Saccharomyces cerevisiae S288C: one gene and its partners. The gene in region 4 interacts genetically with the main gene of each other region. Each region holds a gene or a part of one and is shown on either strand. Other genes may lie near its edges. The genes, in order: PMT6, POX1, DIT2 and TVP38.

Region 1 (5,682 bases), on a different chromosome or scaffold from region 4:
TGTGCTTTAGGTGTGCAAGGCATAATGTGTGGCATACTGGAAGGAACAAGTTGAACACGCCAGCTGGAAAGAAGTTCAATACCAACTTGCCCAATGCCTAACTCAAATGTTCGGATTCCTCCTACTGTTCCATCGAAGATAATAGATGTGGTCGACCAAGCGCTAAGAGCGCGACTCTTAGGTGGCAGCACCTTCAATTCAGGGTTTGATAGTTTAGATTCCGTACTTAACTTACAGTTTAGACTACATTACCATGTTATTGGATCGAATGGGCCTGCAAAACCAGTTTGTGATGTTTTACTGAAGGAAAGTCAAAATTTAGAAAAGAATATGAGTATGATGGAGGAGTTGAATGACTATCCGGAGATTACAAAACTAGTGGAGAAAATTCTGTTCAATTGCCTCGGTATTCTTTTCTTCCACAGGGGCCAATTTCAGGAATCGCAGCGGTGCTTGCTGCACTCGTTGAAAATTCATAATAACACTGCATCGCAAAAAACAGCACTTATGGAGCAGTATGATAGGTATTTGATCGTAGAAAACCTGTACTACCGTGGTCTAGTTTCGCAAGACATAAATATCATGCAAAATGTTTTTTACAAAGAACTACTGGCCCACGTGGATACGATCCCTCCCGAATCAAACGGTCTTCTTTTCGAATACATCAGCTTGATCGTCGCAAAACTCAGGTTCAATCAAATTCAGGATTTAGCAGAAAATTTTAAAACTACCGTCGAAAATCCTTTTATTCTTTTCCTTTACATGATAAAGAAGTTCCAGTCACCTCTCAAAAAGCACATTGATAATGATGATCTTTATTTGAAGTTCGGACAGAACGTTTTGTTGAAGGCCAAATTTCCTACTGCTAGTGAGACAAATGATGAAGCTTTGGAGCATTTTAATGTCTTTTTGCAGTATTATTTCAAATTCACTCACATAAAAAAAATAAAAGTGAATCCCAGTTGGTATAATTTCATAATATCTTCAATGGAAAAGACTTTTCAAAGTATTGAAGTTTCGAAAACAGCAATGTTTCTTTTCCAAAACCTAAGCGATAACAGTAATGACGAAATAAAGAAGAAGACATTTAAAAGAGAATCTATACTAAATTTTGTTAATTTTGTGAAATACAACGACAAGTACTATCAACTGCACGATAACTCCCACCGTGACATAATTTCATTCATTGATGCGTATTCTTTTATTTTACAAAACTCCTCCAAAACCGATTCAATCGAAAATGTTTTTGATTACGATAATACGGTATCTACGTTTGCGACTTCCTTGAATTCCTTCTACAAAGAATATAATTTGCCATTAATGAGCCAATCAGAATCTTTAGATTGGCTAGAAAACAGCACCAGATGTGTATACCCAGGAAACATTTCGAAAGTTCTAACAAATGCGTGGTCAACATTGTACGAAATCAGAAAATATCAGTTAGATTTTCTTGTATCTAATAATTTGACTTCATATCTATGTAATGCAATGATGCTGTCCACAAAAGAAAAAGACAATGCTGATGTAGAAGAGCAGGAAGAAGGAGAGGAGGAGAAGGCATTACGTGAATTACAATTTAAATATTCTTACACTCTAGCACAACAGAGGCACATTGAAACTGCAATCAAGACTCTAGAATCATTGATATTAAGTAAAAACCCAAATTACTACAAAGCTTGGCATCTATTAGCTCTTTGTAGGTCTGTGCAAGAGGATAAGGAAATGTCGTACAAGATAGTTTGCTCTGTTCTAGAAGCTATGAATGAAAGTCTTCAGAACAATACTTTACTTCTGAATGATAGATGGCAATTTATTCACCTAAAATTAACGCAATTGGCGCTAATTGAAGAAATTTTTGGCACTTTAGAGGCACTGGAGACACTTCCAGAGGTCTTTGAATTATACGCAACATTATTTCCAGATTCACAACCTGAATTGAACAGCATGGGTCCCAAATATTCTCAAACTAAAGAATATCTTTTACAAATGGTGTGGATTTTTGCTGCAAATATGTACATGAGAACAAAAGACAATGATGAGGATGCCAAGGCCGCCATCAAAGAAGCCTCCAATGTCGAAAGTAAATTCAAGAATTTAAATTGTAATATTGCTAACGGTTATTTATCAATAATAAAAGATGAACCAGGCGTGGCATTAAAGGAATTTGAAACAGTTCTGTACTATGATGAGAATAATTTAGATGCCTTGGTCGGATTCGCTGAATTAATTTTCCCTGAAGAACTAGGCGTCGAGGAAACTAATCTTGAGCGTTATTATACTCTCAGCCTTGATAAAAAACCAGGTAAGAGGGCCAAACTTACGTTCGTTAATGACACAGATAGGTCAGCAGCGTATGCAAGACTAAAATTTCTATTGGAGTGCGCAATACTAGAATCGATCGAGGCTTACTATTCCCCAGAAGTTTGGTGGTATTTGTCCCTCATTTACGAGAAATATCAAGATGACGAGTACAAAAACTCTTTGCTAAAATGTATTAAATACCAAGAGTTGAATCCCATTCGCTCCCTAAGGTATTGCAATTACTAACGATAATTCTTCTGATATATACACACACATATATACATATGGGCGCAAGTATATTCTGGTGTAAAGATACTCATAGAAAGCATAAAGATGTAATTCAATCTAGTTGTATTATATTATTCATTGATTTATATTAATTTGATGAACAATGGAACATCTTCTCTTCAATAACGGTTTTGCCCATATACTTGACGTTATTAGGTTACCCGTTTTTATAAATGTAATAAGTTCAATAATTTGAAAAGAGCATTAGCTATAGTCACGTTTCGCGTTGAAACAATTCTTTAAATTATCTTCTCTTGGCAGTTTAATATACCAAACGATAGTCCTAACATACTGTTTTTCTTATTATTTACCAATGAGTAAAGCCAAGGGAACGGGATTTTCATCAATTGATACTGAAGATGAAAACTTACGCGAACGTTATGTTAATCAACCAAAAGCTAATGCCTCCGATATTCAAGATGAACAATTAGATTGCTTTGAGCAACTAGAAGAAAAACATAGGACAAAAAAAAATGAAGAATACACTGCGTTGAAAATTTTAAGGGATGTCATAGGTCCCCTTTTATTAACTATAACTTCGTTTTATCTAAGATTCCAACATATAGATCAGAACAATTATGTTGTCTGGGATGAGGCTCATTTTGGGAAATTCGGATCATACTACATCAAACATGAGTACTACCACGATGTCCACCCTCCACTTGGTAAAATGCTTATTGCATTGAGCGAATGGATGGCAGGATTTGACGGTCAATTTGACTTTTCCTCTAATAATGCATATCCGGAAAACGTAAACTTTAAACTAATGAGACAATTTAATGCCACATTTGGAGCTCTATGTACACCAGTAGCTTTCTTTACAGCCAAATGGATGGGGTTCAATTATTTTACTGTTTATTTGATTGCTACGATGGTAACGTTGGAACATTCATATATTGTCCTCTCAAAATTCATATTGCTAGATTCAATGCTGCTTTTTTTCTCGATGACGACTTTTGCCTGTATGATAAAGTTGTATACGTTGAGAAAGCAACAAATGACGAAAAAATGGTCGTTATGGATGTTATTAACTGGTTTATCTATTGGTTGCGTTTGTTCTGTGAAATGGGTTGGTCTTTTTATCACAGTTGTAGTCGGCCTCTACACATGTATAGAACTATTTTTGCTCTATTGTGATAAAGAATTGCCTAGAATAAAATATTACAAACATTGGCTTATCAGAATCATTAATCTGATAGTAATTCCTTTTCTTATCTATCTCTATTGCTTCAAAATTCACTTTGTGTTGTTGTACAAATCTGGCACGGGGGATTCTACTACAAATACGTTATTTCAGATAAACTTGGAGGGAACTCAGATTGAGGCGGGTCCTCGTGATGTAGCATTTGGGTCAGAGTTAACCATAAGGTCGCATGGTTTAAGCCCGAATCTGCTGCATTCACATATTCAAGTATACCCAGAAGGCTCTGGACAGCGCCAAATCACTGGATATGGATTCGCAGACTCTAATAATGTTTGGAAGTTTGAATTTTCTAGGTCTTCTGGATTGGAACTAGATCAGAACGGGACTTTGAATGGCAAAATAATCCCAATAACGGATGGTGTGGAAGTTCGTCTCAGCCATAAAAATACAGGATCGAATCTTCACTCGCATGATGTACCTTCTCACGTCTCTAGAGGAAATTATGAGGTTTCAGGCTATGGGTCACAAAGTGTTGGCGATGAAAAGGATGATTGGATAGTGGAGATTGTGAAACAAATGGATTCACCAAATCCCGTCTATTCTAATGAGAATTCAACTATTTTACATCCAGTTTCTACTTTCTTCAGGTTGAGACACAAAGTTTTAGGTTGTTACTTGGCTTCTACTGGATTGACGTATCCAGCTTGGGGATTTAAACAAGCTGAAATCGTCTGCAAAGACTCCTGGAGTCGTAGGGACAAATCGACCTGGTGGAATGTAGAAGATCACTGGAACCACAATTTAGAAACCGCAGAAGATTACGTTCCACCAAAATCCAATTTTTGGACCGATTTTATTCTAACTAATTTTGCCATGGCCTCCTCTAATAACGCGTTAGTGCCTGATGAGGATAAATATGATAGTTTATCGTCTGATGCATGGGAATGGCCAACCTTGCATAAAGGGCTAAGAATGTGTTCATGGGCGGGATATATCACTCGATATTACTTGATGGGATCTCCCTTCAATACATGGATTTCTACTGTCTCCTTAATCATCTTCCCATTTATTATTCTTTTTATATTATATCGTTGGAGGAGACAAACGCTTTATCTCTCAGACGATCAAATCTGGCAAATAACGATACAGGGTATTTTTCCTTTCATTTCCTGGATGACACATTATCTGCCTTTTGCAATGATGGGGAGAGTGACGTATGTACATCACTACGTTCCCGCTTTATATTTTGCAATGCTTGTTTTCGGATTTGTGCTTGATTTCACTTTGACAAGAGTCCATTGGATGGTCAAATATCCCATCTATTTGTCATTGTTTGGCGGATGTATATACATTTATAATTTATTTGCTCCAATATGTCAGGGTATGCATGGTGATAAAGCGGAATACTTACCTTTGCAGTGGTTATCTACTTGGGATATCGCACCTTAGTAAAAAAAAAAAAAACTCCAACTCCTTTACACAGAATCACGAAAATTGTAAATAATAATGCCAAATAAAGGCATTAACTTATTATCCTCTTCTTTTCACATGAGAAATGATATAGATATTGCCTATTCATATGCTAATGAGTATATACGGGTGGACAAATCACTACTTCCTACACCTAAAAATAATTTACCGTTTCTCTTTAAATGTGACCACCTCAATCTTGTAATTTTGTCTGCTGGTGTTATATCCTCGTTTAGCTGCGTTATTAACTCAAACTTTCCCAAAGTATAACTGTATAAATAAATCTCACCGTTTTCAAGACCCACCGATATCAAAATTTTCTCTCTTATCATGCTGTCATGTATGGAAATAGCAGTGACAGCTTTAGTGTGTTTAATTGATGCTTCCAGAACGTAGTCATCAGCTGGCTCCTTTTGGTGCCTCCATACTTTGACAGTTTTATCCCTGGACGCGGTGACAAAAACATTACCAAACTCTAA
Region 2 (5,474 bases), on a different chromosome or scaffold from region 4:
TACATTATAAATCCTTGTATTTCTGCTTCCTCTACCTTCGATGAAAGCTTCTCATACCTTATGTCATCTTCTAACACCGTATATGATAATATATTGGTAGTGTGACTACTAGTTGATAAACTGTTGGAATAAAAATCAACTATCATCTACTAACTAGTATTTACGTTACTAGTATATTATGATATTCGGTGTTAGAAGATGACGCAAATGATGAGAAATAGTCATCTAAATTAGTGGAAGCTGAAACGCAAGGATTGATAATGTAATAGGATCAATGAATATTAACATATAAAACGATGATGATAATATTTATAGAATTGTGTAGAATTGCAGACTCCCTTTTATGGATTCCTAAATCCTGGAGGAGAACTTCTAGTATATCTACATACCTAATATTATTGTGTTGATAATTAGAGGTTAAAAATTAGTATTAATGAAGAAGTGAGTACTGATCTTCTTATACTAAATAAGAGAGGTATATAAAACACACGCCGATTGGTCATATTAATCATGACCAATATAATAGTGATTCCGGTAGTTACTATACATTGATGTGACGACTCATATTCCTCATATATGTACCTACCATATCATGTTCAGCTAATAGGTCTTTAACACAGCTTCAGTATTGTCTGAGCTTCTCGTTTAACATTCCTTCTGCAATAGGCGCAATCACACTTAAACGTATACGATGTGTACATTAATATACGATGTAAGCATTAGATTGTTACCATAGCAACTCATGTCACTATTAATTACTCTCGTTCCAACATATTGCCTTATTAAAAATGGAATCCCAACAATTACATCAGAATCCACACAATCATCATGATGTTTTAGAGCTTCATTCCAACAAGTGCCAACACAGCACATTTATTATTTGTTATGTATATAATTCTGAGATATTGAGTAAACACTCAATAATTACCTGCCATCTTAGTATAGTGGTTAGTACACATCGTTGTGGCCGATGAAACCCTGGTTCGATTCTAGGAGATGGCAATTTTTTTACTACTATACATTGGTAAATGTAGTCATGTCATTGATTCGTCATAGTTATGTGAATAGTATTAGATATGTAAATAGATAGAGAGTACCGTTATGCACATAAGATGGCCTCTCACTAGGATTTTGTAACTTTTTGTTAAAACTTGGCGACACTAGTTGAATTGAAACAAAAGTCGCAAAACAGAGGGTTCGAAGGAAAACAGGAAACCTCTACTCACTTGTTTATTTTCGATAAAATTTCCGCATTAGCTGCACCACCTAACTTTTGGTCAAATTCGAAACCTCTACCGAGCATGCTGCTCAACAGCGCATGATAAGAAGGCTTCCCTGCCCCATCTGCCTCCACTGGATTATTGCGGCAAACTTCATTGAAGTAATTGTGATAGATATCGCCATCAAAGTAACCTATAGGAGAATTTAACATCGCGTCAGGTAATTCAAAGGAGTCTGTCAGACCTATACAGTCTTTCCTCACAATTGGCAAAAGAGCCAATAGTTGTGGCTGCACAACTTTAGAGATCTGATCAGGAGTGAAGATCTTGAATTGTTGGAATTCTCCGGAATGCTTGTCAATAAAATACAAGGAAAATAACTTATAAACATTCCACATAGATTCCTTTGTAATTTCATCGGAAATATGTGAATCACGAGAGTTTAACTTGTCGTAATAGGTTTTCAACATGCAGCGCAAGGCATGAAATTTGGATACTAAGACTAAAAGCTTAGAAACGCTATCAATACTTCTTGATTTTTCAACTAAAGTACCAATATGTGCCAGTAATTTGATTAAGGTGATAGACCAAATTTCAGTATAATCACCCAACTCCTTTAAACCACTCTTTATTTCTCCAGAAACCACAGATCCTATGTACTGAGGTTTTAAGTAAGAGAATGAGTCCACATCCAGTGTGTTGTCAAATCTACCCTTTGTGGCTGAATCGATAAATTTTTTCAATATTGATTTTGCTGAAGTTAAAGATAAAACATTATTATCACCCTCCCATGTGCACTGAACCACCCAGTCGTCATAGCCTTTACCAAATCCGTTATACTGTGAATACCCATGTCCTCCGCAAGTCTGTCTCAACTCATCAATCAGTGTAGCAATTAACCAAGTATTGGTGGCTTTCAAGCTGGCGCTATCAATAAATAAATTCTTCAACTTTTTACTCACGGTAACCAGAGCAGCTTTGTATGCAGATGAGGAAGCGTTGTATAACTCGTCCAAAGTGGAATAATAGTTGTCCATTAACTTAAAAGCTACAGGTGACACCAAATATGGAACACACAATTGTGGTAAAACACGATATTGGTGAAGGGGATAGTCGATTAATTGTGTTTCAGACAATCCCTTTCTAGGTGCGAATTGCTGACGACCAACCGCGTAACGTACAGCAATAGTAGCAAATTTGGAGCCAAACCTAAATGAATCCATGACCATGTTAACTCTACCACTTAACAATGCACTATAACCAGAAATTTGATCCAATTGTGGCTCAGTTTTGACGGTGACTGAACCATCTGGAGAACGGACAACTTTGGTAAATCTACTTAGCATAAATTCTCTAGGGATAACTACGTTTCTGAACTGGATCCAGCCATTATCAATACCGTCACGACCCATCTTCGCTCCAATATCCCCTATGGAAACACCAGCTAACAGTTGGAAAGTCGAAGGGTCTCTCAGAGGAACAACGAATGTTTTTACACCGTAGTCTTTACCTTCAACGATCAATCTGGCGTACACGGCAGCGTGCGTGGCAGAATGGGCAGCCCCACCAATCCACCATTTGGTGGCAGTTAGATCAGGTGTATCAATTACAAAAGTATCATTTTGCTTATCGTACACAGCCCTAGTCTGCAGCTGGGCAACATTGGAACCATGTCCTAACTCAGTCATTGCAAAACAGCCATATATACCTTTCATCAAAGTGGCACCTCTCTCCTGCAACCAATACCGGATTTGCTCATCAGTACCATTGCCCTTGATACAATTACCAAATAGCCCCAAGTGTACACCCACGCGCGTACCCAATTGAGGATCAATATTTGCTACAAGTGACAATCTCTTATCGAATATAAAAAGGTCTTTGTTTGTTAAAGGCGAAGCTTTGTCTGGATCATTTGCTTGCAACTCTTTCATCAGGTCAGTGTCGCGAAAGTGTTTGCGCACTGTTTTGATATCGTGCTCCATATAACTAGCAAGCCTAGCTATTTTTTTGGCAGTAATTTCTCTCTCTTGCATTTTTTTAGCATCGTAATAGTCCGTATCAGTTTTCAATATAGGATCATTCACTATTTGGTCTATTAAGGCGTGCGTCAGAGTTCTCCTCTCCGGGGATGACTCTAAAAATGTGTTAACTTGGTCAACTTTGATTTTCGAATCCGCCCTTTCTTTCTGGATAAATTTTTGAGGATTCAGAACCACCGAATCGGGATTAATAGTAGTACGTCTCGTCATATCGCAATACTAATTTATTATATTTTCTTTTTTTCTGTGATACTTATTAGTGTCAAGTGTGTATTCAAAAACGGAGAGCAATATTAGTGATGATGAGCGGAATGAGGAAAACTTTAAGGCCTGTTCAAGTTGTTTAAATAATTTTTACAGGTTAGACCTTTATAAACACTCTTAAAGCCCCAATGTATTAGTGCTTTGACTTAACAACGCCAACGTTCTCTTGTGTACTTGCTTGTAGGTGATTTACCCCAACGGCTATTAGCCGCTAATGACCGAATTCCTTTCGCTTCGGAGTTTAATCAACTAATACCGTAAATATAGGGCTTAAAATGTGTCAGGGTTTGAACGCAAAAAAAGGAGGTTTATAATAAAATATTAGCACATTATAGGTTTTAAAGTTAAAAAATAATAGGGTTAATTTTATTACCCTACCCCCTTTTTTTGGTCGAGATCTCGCATTTTTCGTCGCTAGGAATAAATACAAAGAGAATTAAGAAAAGTAAAAAGTGGAACTGAAGGAATCTACAGAAATAAGGAGATATTTTGATTAGTTGTTCAGAGTAACTTATTGAAACCTCGACAATCCGGATCAGAGTTGAGAGAGAAAGAAGATATTCAACTATAAAAATAAATTATCACGAAAGTTCTAACCAATGAGTGACCTACCCATTGAATTTACCGAATTGGTCGATCTGATGTCCTTAGGAATTTCCCCTCAATTCCTTGACTTCAGATCAACTACTTTCGAGAGTGACCACTTCGTCACTGTTAGAGAAACAAAGGACGGTACAAACTCTGTTGCAATCGTGGATTTGGCCAAAGGCAATGAAGTGACAAGGAAGAATATGGGCGGTGATTCTGCTATCATGCATCCATCTCAGATGGTTATTTCCGTTAGAGCAAATGGTACTATCGTGCAGATATTTAATTTGGAAACTAAGAGCAAGTTAAAGTCTTTTACTTTAGATGAACCTGTTATTTTTTGGAGGTGGTTGAGTGAAACCACTTTGGGTTTTGTTACCGCAAGATCCATACTGACCTCGAACGTCTTTGATGGTAACGTAAATGCTAAGCCTCAATTGCTTACCTTGAGACACGCTAACTTGAACAATACCCAAATTATCAATTTTGTGGCTAACAAAAACCTTGACTGGTTCGCAGTTGTTGGTATCTTACAAGAAAATGGCCGTATTGCCGGTAGAATTCAATTATTCTCAAAACAACGTAACATCTCCCAAGCTATCGACGGTCATGTTGCTATCTTTACGAATATATTACTAGAGGGTAATGGCTCGACCCCGGTACAAGTTTTCGTTACTGGTAACAGAAATGCCACCACCGGTGCTGGAGAATTAAGAATTATCGAGATTGATCACGATGCTTCATTGCCTTCTCAATATCAAAAGGAAACTACCGATATTTTCTTTCCACCAGATGCAACGAATGATTTCCCAATCGCTGTTCAGGTGTCTGAGAAATACGGCATAATTTACCTATTAACCAAGTATGGCTTCATCCATTTGTACGAATTGGAAACCGGTACCAATTTATTCGTTAATAGAATTACAGCAGAATCTGTTTTTACTGCAGCTCCGTACAATCACGAGAACGGTATTGCATGCATCAATAAAAAAGGTCAAGTTTTAGCAGTAGAGATTTCTACTTCTCAAATCGTTCCATATATCTTGAATAAATTATCTAATGTGGCACTGGCCTTAATCGTTGCTACAAGAGGTGGCTTACCAGGTGCAGATGATTTATTTCAAAAACAGTTTGAATCTTTATTGTTACAAAACGATTATCAAAATGCAGCTAAAGTTGCAGCCTCTTCCACTTCTTTAAGGAACCAAAACACCATCAACAGGTTGAAAAACATTCAAGCACCACCAGGCGCCATTTCTCCTATCCTACTTTACTTTTCAACACTATTGGATAAAGGGAAATTGAATAAAGAGGAAACAATTGAATTGGCTAGACCAGTTCTACAACAAGACAGAAAACAATT
Region 3 (4,766 bases), on a different chromosome or scaffold from region 4:
TCTTGAATTTTTTTCTGGAATAACTTTGGAAATGTTCCAGTAGAGATAAATCTTCCATCATAAAACGTGAAAAGCCCCTATACAGATGCAATCTTGGATGTCCTTCTATTGCAATCTGCTTTCTCAAACGACCTGCATCTGTATCACAGCCTTTCATCAAAATCTGTCTCGACAAATCGGACTTAGGACAGATTTGAGTTCCTGTGTAGTGTGCAACTTCAACATCACTAACCCACTTTGGATCGAAAACTTTACTAGCTGCACCGCTAAAAAATAAATCGTTCAATCCACAAAAGCCAATGGCGTCAACACCAGGTATAGCCACTCTTTTATACAGTTCGTGCAATTTGGTCGTGTAAGTACTCACGACGTCATCATCGACCCCAATACAATCGGAGAAAACATGGCCATCACTAACTATCCAAATTTTCATACCCGGTGGATATATCTTGACAAGGTCTTGTGTGGCTTTTATTAATCTTTTCAAAGCGAGTTCTTCGCCTTTGTCAGGAACGGAACCGTACACTTTTTGCTCATTAGATGACTTACATGGAAACGCTGGCAAGATGCATTCAATTCTCAAATATCGATCGGTAAAATATCTTGAACGTTCAATAAAATAATCACGGCCACCAAAATTCCATTGATCATTAACTATTGTGTTTTTCAAATTTTTCTCAAAAAAATCTGCAAATAATTCGTGATACTTAACTTCTTTGGTTACAATTGGATGTTCACTTAGAGATAATTGAGATTGGTCTAAAATATGATATACGAACCAGTTATTGAAAGAATTTTCATTCTCAACTGTTGTAACACACCCACGAATCTGGCGTTCGTCATCGCGTGTATATTCAGAAATCTTTATTGCCACTCCTAAATTATTGGTAAATTTATTTGCTAAAGAAGCTGGCAAAATTCTTTCAGAAACCCGTCCACTTACTTCGGATTCAGAAAAGTCCAGATTGTGAATAGTGTTGATAAAGTCGAGCCATTGGTCTCCAAATTTACAATTCTGTTTTTCCTCTAAAGAGTAAAAATCGTCACATTTGTCGCTTCTGCAATACAGGGCCAGAAATTTACTATATGTAGACAAATCGGCCCCATTATGGGGAATATCAATATCTTTCAACGTATCAGTCGATGAAGAAAATGAAGAGGCAGGTGGTGATATTGACTGCTCGGAGCTTGAGGGCAAGTTGCTAGTAAATGTCATTTTTGTTAATGTCTCGACAAAGCTTTACCGAATTAGGATATTAACAAATTGTTTATTTAGTCAAGACTTTGCGGAGGAGCACAATTTATGTGAAAATTTATTTCAATATTTATACATCATTTTTGATTCTGAACCTATTTTCAGAAATTGTTTTACAACATCGTAGGGCAGGCACTATGCCCTTGCAAATTTTATGATATACTGTCCACTGAAAGCAATGCAATCAAAATTCAAATAAACTCCTGAGGGGCCAATAATATAAGGATTTTTAGCACGCGACGTCTGGGATTGAGTGCCATGTATGTAAAGACGAGCAATTACTTTATGTTCCCTTATTTGTGAGGGGTTCCTGGTTTGCTTTTTTCGATCAATTCTCCTGATATTATTGAGTAAATTAGACAAATTGTTAGGAAACAACAAATTCCGATGCTTACTTACCCCTTAAATTTTCTCATTGCTCTTCATTGAGGTTGCATACCTCACCATATTTGTCATAGAAGGTCCCTTAAGGCGCCTTTTTATTTTTTCTTGGCAAGAGAACCCTTTTATTTATGGCCAGACGCGCGTCGCAAAAAAAGGTAAACATCAATAATTTTCCTTCCAGGGACTCTCAATAAAAAGACTGTAACTTGTATTATCAAATTGAGAAGCAATTACGTATTCCACCCCTCATTACTTCCCCGATACAATTTATTTTCACTTCTTTCGATGAATGCAGTGATTTCTATCTTTCCCGAAAATTACAAGCCACGGACCACAAGAGGAATGACTGGTCATCCTGATGCGAATAGTATATTAGGTAGTGCAAAAAAATACATTAATTTTCTTGAAATATTTTCGTTTTTTCAAAATGGTATTTGATTCAGACTAAGAGAATAAATCGAAAAAAGCATTAAAAATGGAGTTGTTAAAGCTTCTGTGTTTGATTTTATTTCTTACTCTTTCCTATGTCGCCTTTGCAATCATTGTCCCACCTCTAAACTTTCCCAAAAATATACCCACCATCCCATTTTATGTAGTATTTTTACCAGTAATATTTCCCATTGATCAAACGGAGCTATACGATCTTTATATTAGGGAATCAATGGAAAAATACGGTGCTGTAAAATTTTTCTTTGGTTCACGGTGGAATATTCTCGTTTCTCGTTCTGAGTATCTAGCACAAATATTCAAAGATGAAGATACTTTTGCGAAGAGCGGTAATCAAAAGAAAATCCCATACAGTGCTCTTGCCGCTTACACAGGGGACAATGTCATTAGCGCGTATGGTGCAGTTTGGAGAAACTACAGAAATGCTGTGACAAACGGGCTCCAACATTTTGACGATGCACCTATATTCAAAAATGCAAAAATTTTATGCACTTTGATAAAAAACAGACTCCTAGAAGGACAAACTTCGATCCCTATGGGACCTTTATCCCAGAGAATGGCATTGGATAACATTTCACAGGTTGCCCTTGGATTTGATTTTGGTGCTCTAACACATGAAAAAAATGCTTTCCACGAGCATTTGATTCGTATTAAAAAGCAAATATTTCATCCATTCTTTTTAACTTTTCCATTCCTTGATGTTCTTCCTATTCCTTCAAGAAAAAAAGCCTTCAAGGATGTTGTTAGTTTTAGAGAACTTCTCGTTAAAAGAGTTCAAGATGAATTAGTCAATAATTACAAATTTGAACAAACTACTTTTGCTGCCAGTGATCTAATTCGTGCTCACAATAACGAAATAATCGACTACAAACAGTTGACCGATAATATCGTCATTATCCTTGTCGCTGGCCATGAAAACCCGCAGTTGCTATTTAATAGTTCACTCTACCTTCTAGCCAAATATTCAAATGAATGGCAAGAGAAACTCAGGAAGGAAGTAAACGGCATCACTGATCCAAAAGGCTTAGCAGATTTACCCTTATTAAATGCTTTTCTCTTCGAAGTAGTAAGAATGTATCCTCCTTTGAGCACAATTATTAATAGATGTACTACCAAAACGTGCAAGTTGGGGGCGGAAATTGTTATACCCAAGGGCGTATATGTCGGGTACAACAACTTTGGAACCTCACACGATCCCAAAACTTGGGGCACAACAGCAGATGATTTTAAACCAGAAAGATGGGGTTCAGATATCGAAACCATAAGGAAAAACTGGAGAATGGCGAAAAACAGATGTGCTGTGACTGGGTTCCATGGAGGCCGAAGAGCATGCCTAGGGGAAAAACTAGCCCTAACAGAAATGAGAATTTCTTTGGCTGAAATGTTGAAACAGTTTCGATGGAGTCTTGACCCTGAATGGGAAGAAAAATTAACTCCCGCTGGGCCTCTTTGCCCTCTTAATTTAAAGTTAAAATTTAACGAGAATATAATGGAATAAATATAAAACATGTAGAATTGTATATATACGCATATATGTATACAATCGCGACAACTTTTAGTGAAACTTCTTTGTATCCAGTGAAAATGAAAGGAACAGAACCTGACCAAAGGTCAGTAGAAAAAAAAAAAGCCTTTTATAGAAGTTCTTATCCAATCGTTGACATTTTGTCTGCTCTATTTAATGCTTCAAAAATCTGATCCCAAAAGTACTGGATATTCAAATCGAGACCAATTATTGTACCAACATCACTGTCATTTGGATATTCTTTTTCAATGATAATTTTCCCTGAGTTTTCGTTGAAAACATCATCAATGCAGGATATGTCCATTCTCTTGTAGCGAAATCCAACCGCAGACGATGGATCCCACCCATAAAATTCCAAAAGCGGCATCAAAGCTACCGGATCATGTATAGGTGGGCCCGATTCAAATCCTTGCATATCCTTGTAGGTATGAGCAAAAAATTGAAAAAGCTCCAAAAACAATTCTCGTAACTTGCTGTTATTCTTTTCGTTGTATATCATTTCGTTAACCTTGTAAGTAGCTATGGCCTTGTGAGTTAAATTTAGAGGAACTACTATACATTTGTCCTTTACATCGGGATCACGGAATATGTAATTCGCTGCGTCAGGATCAATCCAAACGTTGAATTCAGCAGAAAGATTTGGGTTACAGTTTCCTAGACCATGGAGTCCACCCCCCATAATGCTAATATATTTGACAGATTTTTTTAGGTATGGTTTACACCTAAAAACTGTTGCTAATGTGGTAAGTGCACCAGTAGACACAAAGGATATCTCTCCATTGTTAGCTAGAATCGCCTCTTCAATGGCCTCAATATACGTTTTATCAGTTCTTGCCTCAAATGTTGGCTTAGGTAGCAAAGAAGTGCCGTCTAAACCTGATATACCATGAATGTCAGGAGCATAATGAGGTTCCCTTTTCCAAGGTCTCTGTGCGCCTTTATAAACTGGAATCGCTTGTGCTTTGCCCATCGCAGTCAAAAGAGAACGGGCGTTGTAGTCAGTATTCTCTGGCGGTGCGTTACCAAAACACGTGCTGATTCCTAGAAGATTGAAAGCTGGATGGAAACAGCCTAATAAAATGGCTATGGCATCATCATGACCAGGATCACAATCTAGCCATATGGGTATTTTACTAACAGTCATCTTTTCTTCAA
Region 4 (4,407 bases):
CAAAAGAAAAGAGCATAACTCGTGGAGTGCTTACATTGAGAAAAAACTTTTATAATAGTTACCCATACTGCTACAATCAGATTGTTCATAAATTTCATTAGCTTTTGGCAACCATTTCGACATATTCTCTATTCTACGAGTGCTTGCTGGATGTGTACTTAGAAACTCCATATTCACAACACCCCCTCTATTCATTTGCTTTTCAAAATTTGCCATTCTTTCCCACACTTTTATTGACTCCTGTGGTTGAAAACATGCCCTTGACATTATCATCAGGCCAATGTAATCAGCTTCGGTTTCCATCTGTCTTGATGCTGGCATTCGCAAAAACCCATCCAATAGTATATTGTTGATAGCATGAGCTCCAGTAACAGTATATAACACCAAACCCAAAAGAGAATATATAGGAGCCTTCGACAAATTTTCGGCTGTGTGTCTTGCTAGCTGATGAGCAAATTCGTGTGCTAAAACAGTGGCAATCCCATCATCATTAGCACAAATAGGTAAAATAGAGCTGAATATAAAGACCTTACCCCCTGGTAAAACGAATGCATTTGGTGAAGCAGTTGGATCATTGACCACATGAATTTCCCACTTGATTCCGTCCAGTAGTGAGTTGTCTACACTAGGGTCCTTATAAGCAGCTTCGACAATTTTCATGAAAATATTCTCAATTTTGATGGACAGCGGATGCTGTGGAGGTAATATTTCCTGCTGCGTTTGTCTCCAAATTGATTTGTATGTGTAATTTCCGATAGTTAACTCTAATGGACGCGATACCCAGATGAACCTGGACCTATCGCTTACCGGTGCTTTATCCAAATGTGTATAATAAAAGAGAGAGCATCCACCAAATAATAAAGCTAAGTATTTTCTTGATGACTTATCGAGAAGAATGCTTTTAAACGATGATTTTTGGGAATACTCTCCATTATTAAATCGACGATATGAAGGACCATTGTCATAGCGGTAACATCGCGTTAACTGAACACGAAATGATACAGGTTTTAAAAATCCTCCACTGGTCCCTTTTCCAAATCCTTTGAACCTGATGATGTTGCGTAACATTTCTTGTATTTTATCTTTCCATACCTTAACTTAGATTGGTTGATGTCGCTTCGAAAAACTGCTTTTTGTCTTTTAAGTTCTTTATATCGGACGTAGAAAGAAGTAGAAATAGTAATTTGGGTTACCCATATAAAACCAACTTATCTAAACATATATAAACGTATACGGAGGATTAGACCTCAAAAGACAATTCAGGTAGTTGATCAGTGGACACTTGACGGTCGCGGTTTTGTAGTTCTAAATATCTCTTCTTAGTCTTGAAGTATAAGAGCCATGCTGTAAGACTTAGGATTAATAATGTGATAATAATGCTTACCAAGTCAAATACCCTAGATCCTGTAGATTCAGATTCTGCGAGACTCTTTACACGAGAACCTATAAATAGATAGATGAACAGCTTTGGTGTGGTTATTATGTTGGCAATGGAAAAGTTGCGTACCGAGATACCGTAAACACCAGCTATGGCACCATTAGTCAAAGAATATGGGAAGGGACATAATCTCAGTAGAGCTAGAATCCAATAGCTATTGTTTTCTTGTAAAATTGAAGCCAATGCTTCAAATCTTCTATTCAAATGCACAAGCTTTTCTGCTCTTGAATGCAAGATCGTCTTGAACACAACGAAAGAGGCAATGGAACCTGTTACAGATCCCAAAGCTAGCGTAACCCATCCCTCAAAACTGACACCATAGATCAACCCAGTAGTGGTGGATAATAAGGAGTAGCCAATCATAGGAGGAAATGCGACAAAGAATATCAGAACCATTAATATAAAATGTGTTGACATCTTTTCTCTCAAATCGTTCGAAGTAACAACAACTTTATGTAAAATCGCATTATGGAAGACGAGCAACAATATACCCATTATCATTAGCATTATGCCGAGGAGGACAATGATAATCTGTTGCCATAAGCGTAGTGAATAAAAATAAAACTGTAATTTTTGAACATTCTTCCTGATATTATGCATCAATCTCTCTCTAGGGGACATATTATAAATGTCTAAAAAATCATCATCATTAACATTTACTTCGTCATTGAATGACAATCCAGCATTAGTACCAACCCTTTGTCCATTATTACTATTTGGCATGATATCGTTGTCAAAGTCTTCGAAATAGCCATCAAATTCATCATCCTCCCCTTGGCCCATATTGGCATTTCCTGCTTCGTAAGACTGACTCATTTGTGTAACCAATATCTTTCTTCCACCATAATAATATTTTCAAATATGTTGAAGGTATTGTTTTAGTAAAGTGGCTTTTTTTCTTAGTGCAGCTCGAGAGAAAACAATGATTTCGATTTCCGCTTTGAAAATGATATGAATGAGAAAGGCCATTCGAATAAATACATAGATGAAAAAGAATATCTAGAGGATATATAAGCAAGCCCGTGTTTTCTTATTGAGTAAAACTGGTGGTGCTTTTGTGCTGCGTTGAAGAAGAAGGCCTCGATCGAAACGGTGAGCTCTTTGTAGCTTGAGAAGGGGGTCTTCCATCAATGCTATGACGCCTGAAATTGCCCGCTAAATCACTATGAATCATTGCGTCTGAATCGAAGTTACTTATCAGTCTCAATGTAGGATGGTCTTCTTTATCCGAATCTGTGTATAATATGTTGCTACTGCTGACCCATTTTTTGTTCATATGCCTCAAGTATCTACTCTTTCGGCCAAAATGCAATTTCTTGTCTACCATGGCAGGTGTTTCAATGCTGGCAGAATGTGGGATAAGTTCATGGCTTTCCGGGTCATAGGTCTTGGCATCCATAGGAAACATTAGCCGGCCCATACTTGTTTTTTTCTGCAGAATTGGCGGTGGGTGTCCATTGATTTTGCTGGATTGCCTCAACATCCTTGATGTGGGAGAAGCAACTGAAAATGAAAAGGATTTGGCTGGTCGCCTTGAAGTTGAAATAGTATCTGATTTCCTTCTTTGGTGACGCGGATTGAGAGAAGCGGACGTAATGGAATACCGCGGTCTAAACCCGGAAGGTGACCGCCCATATGTGCTTGCATTCTCACGTAACAATAGCAAAGAGTTTGTCGATTCTGATTCTAATAAGTTGTCATCTAAAACATTGGAAATATGATTGTCACCCTTGGTTGGAGTCCTAGTTAGCAATGTTGAATTTTCTGGGTTTTTGGACTCATCTGACGTTTGCTCTGGAGCTTTAATTAATCCAATGACTGAATCAGCAAATTGGAAGGGGGTTTTTAAAGAGGAGGTGACAATCATCCTACCTTTGATATAAGAAATCGCCTTATCCAGAGCAAATTCCTGGCCACAGTGATTTTGAATAATGGAAACCTTGGGCCACGTAGCTTTTGCACCATTGGTGATTTCCCTTAATAAAAATTCTTTTGTTGGGTTTGACAACAGCTCCTTTATTCTAAAAAGCATACACATGTCGGGCAAAATAGTGATGTCACCAGAATATTGTTGAGATAATACCGATCTCAGTTTTGTAAGCGCGTTTTTGGCAATTCCCATCTCACTTCCAATTTCTAGAATATGAATAGCTTCATTGGCCATAAAATTGTATATACTTGATAAGTTTTGCTTTAATCTTGCACTAAATTCGTCCTCAATTTCCCCGCCAACACAGGATAGTGATAGTTTCAAAAAGGGAAATACGTGAATATTCACCTGGCATGCGATAATATGGTCTACATTAAACATTTCAGAAAGACGAGAAATGGGCAAGTCATTGTCCACAGAACCATCGACAAATTTGACCGAACTACTACCAGTCCATGGTTTCCTTTCTCCCGTTTTTGGATCTTTTTCGTAAAGTGGGCTCGAGGGGAAAATTCCCGGTAGTGAACATGATGCACATACGGCGGACCAAATCAGGACGTTTGGTGCAGTCAAATTATTCAGCAAGCGCGGTTGTTCAAATAAAGATGCCGGCGAAACGGTTATATTCAAAATTTTACCCGTTCTATTGTAAGCTTCCCTAAATGTCAAATCTCCCAAAAATTCTATCATTGTATTTACCAGATGCTTGTTATCAAACCACGTACCGTTTTTGAAGAACCTAGATATTTTTATTAACAAATTCTCGCTTTCACTTTTCTGTTTATCGTCTTTGAAAATGTTGAATTCTTTATCCAAAATATGATTTAGTAAAACCGGAATTTCTTCTTTGTGATGGACAGATAATATGCTTGCTACAATTGCACCAGCACTGCTACCACTAATCACTCTGGGTAATAAATCCAATTCAAATAGAGTACCAAGGACACCGATGTGGAAAAGACCAAAAGTTCCACCCCCACTGAGAACTAAAGCGGTACGACCAATATTTCTTCTCGTTTGTTGCAGTATACCCAAAAGG

The links.
Region 1: mutations in TVP38 (region 4) and PMT6 together harm fitness more than expected from each alone (negative genetic interaction), as found in Saccharomyces cerevisiae (2 studies listed by BioGRID).
Region 2: mutations in TVP38 (region 4) and POX1 together harm fitness more than expected from each alone (negative genetic interaction), as found in Saccharomyces cerevisiae (2 studies listed by BioGRID).
Region 3: mutations in TVP38 (region 4) and DIT2 together harm fitness more than expected from each alone (negative genetic interaction), as found in Saccharomyces cerevisiae (2 studies listed by BioGRID).

Annotation. Positions count from the first base shown.
Region 1 is NC_001139.9:894,600-900,281, forward strand, and holds PMT6 (dolichyl-phosphate-mannose-protein mannosyltransferase PMT6), read left to right. Parts: upstream 1-2,902; coding exon 2,903-5,182; downstream 5,183-5,682. Other genes in the region: YPP1 (Ypp1p), read left to right, coding at 94-2,547; Elongator subunit ELP2, read right to left, coding at 5,305-5,682. UniProt on the Saccharomyces cerevisiae protein: Protein O-mannosyltransferase involved in O-glycosylation which is essential for cell wall rigidity. Transfers mannose from Dol-P-mannose to Ser or Thr residues on proteins.
Region 2 is NC_001139.9:106,153-111,626, reverse strand, and holds POX1 (acyl-CoA oxidase), read right to left. Parts: upstream 3,470-5,474; coding exon 1,223-3,469; downstream 1-1,222. Other genes in the region: CHC1 (clathrin heavy chain), read left to right, coding at 4,123-5,474.
Region 3 is NC_001136.10:1,271,052-1,275,817, reverse strand, and holds DIT2 (putative cytochrome P450), read left to right. Parts: upstream 1-2,114; coding exon 2,115-3,584; downstream 3,585-4,766. Other genes in the region: DIT1 (Dit1p), read right to left, coding at 1-1,216; URH1 (trifunctional uridine nucleosidase/nicotinamide riboside hydrolase/nicotinic acid riboside hydrolase), read right to left, coding at 3,733-4,755. UniProt on the Saccharomyces cerevisiae protein: Involved in spore wall maturation. Thought to catalyze the oxidation of tyrosine residues in the formation of LL-dityrosine a precursor of the spore wall.
Region 4 is NC_001143.9:603,165-607,571, forward strand, and holds TVP38 (Tvp38p), read right to left. Parts: upstream 2,255-4,407; coding exon 1,241-2,254; downstream 1-1,240. Other genes in the region: OMA1 (metalloendopeptidase), read right to left, coding at 31-1,068; TGL4 (triacylglycerol lipase), read right to left, coding at 2,469-4,407. UniProt on the Saccharomyces cerevisiae protein: Golgi membrane protein involved in vesicular trafficking and spindle migration.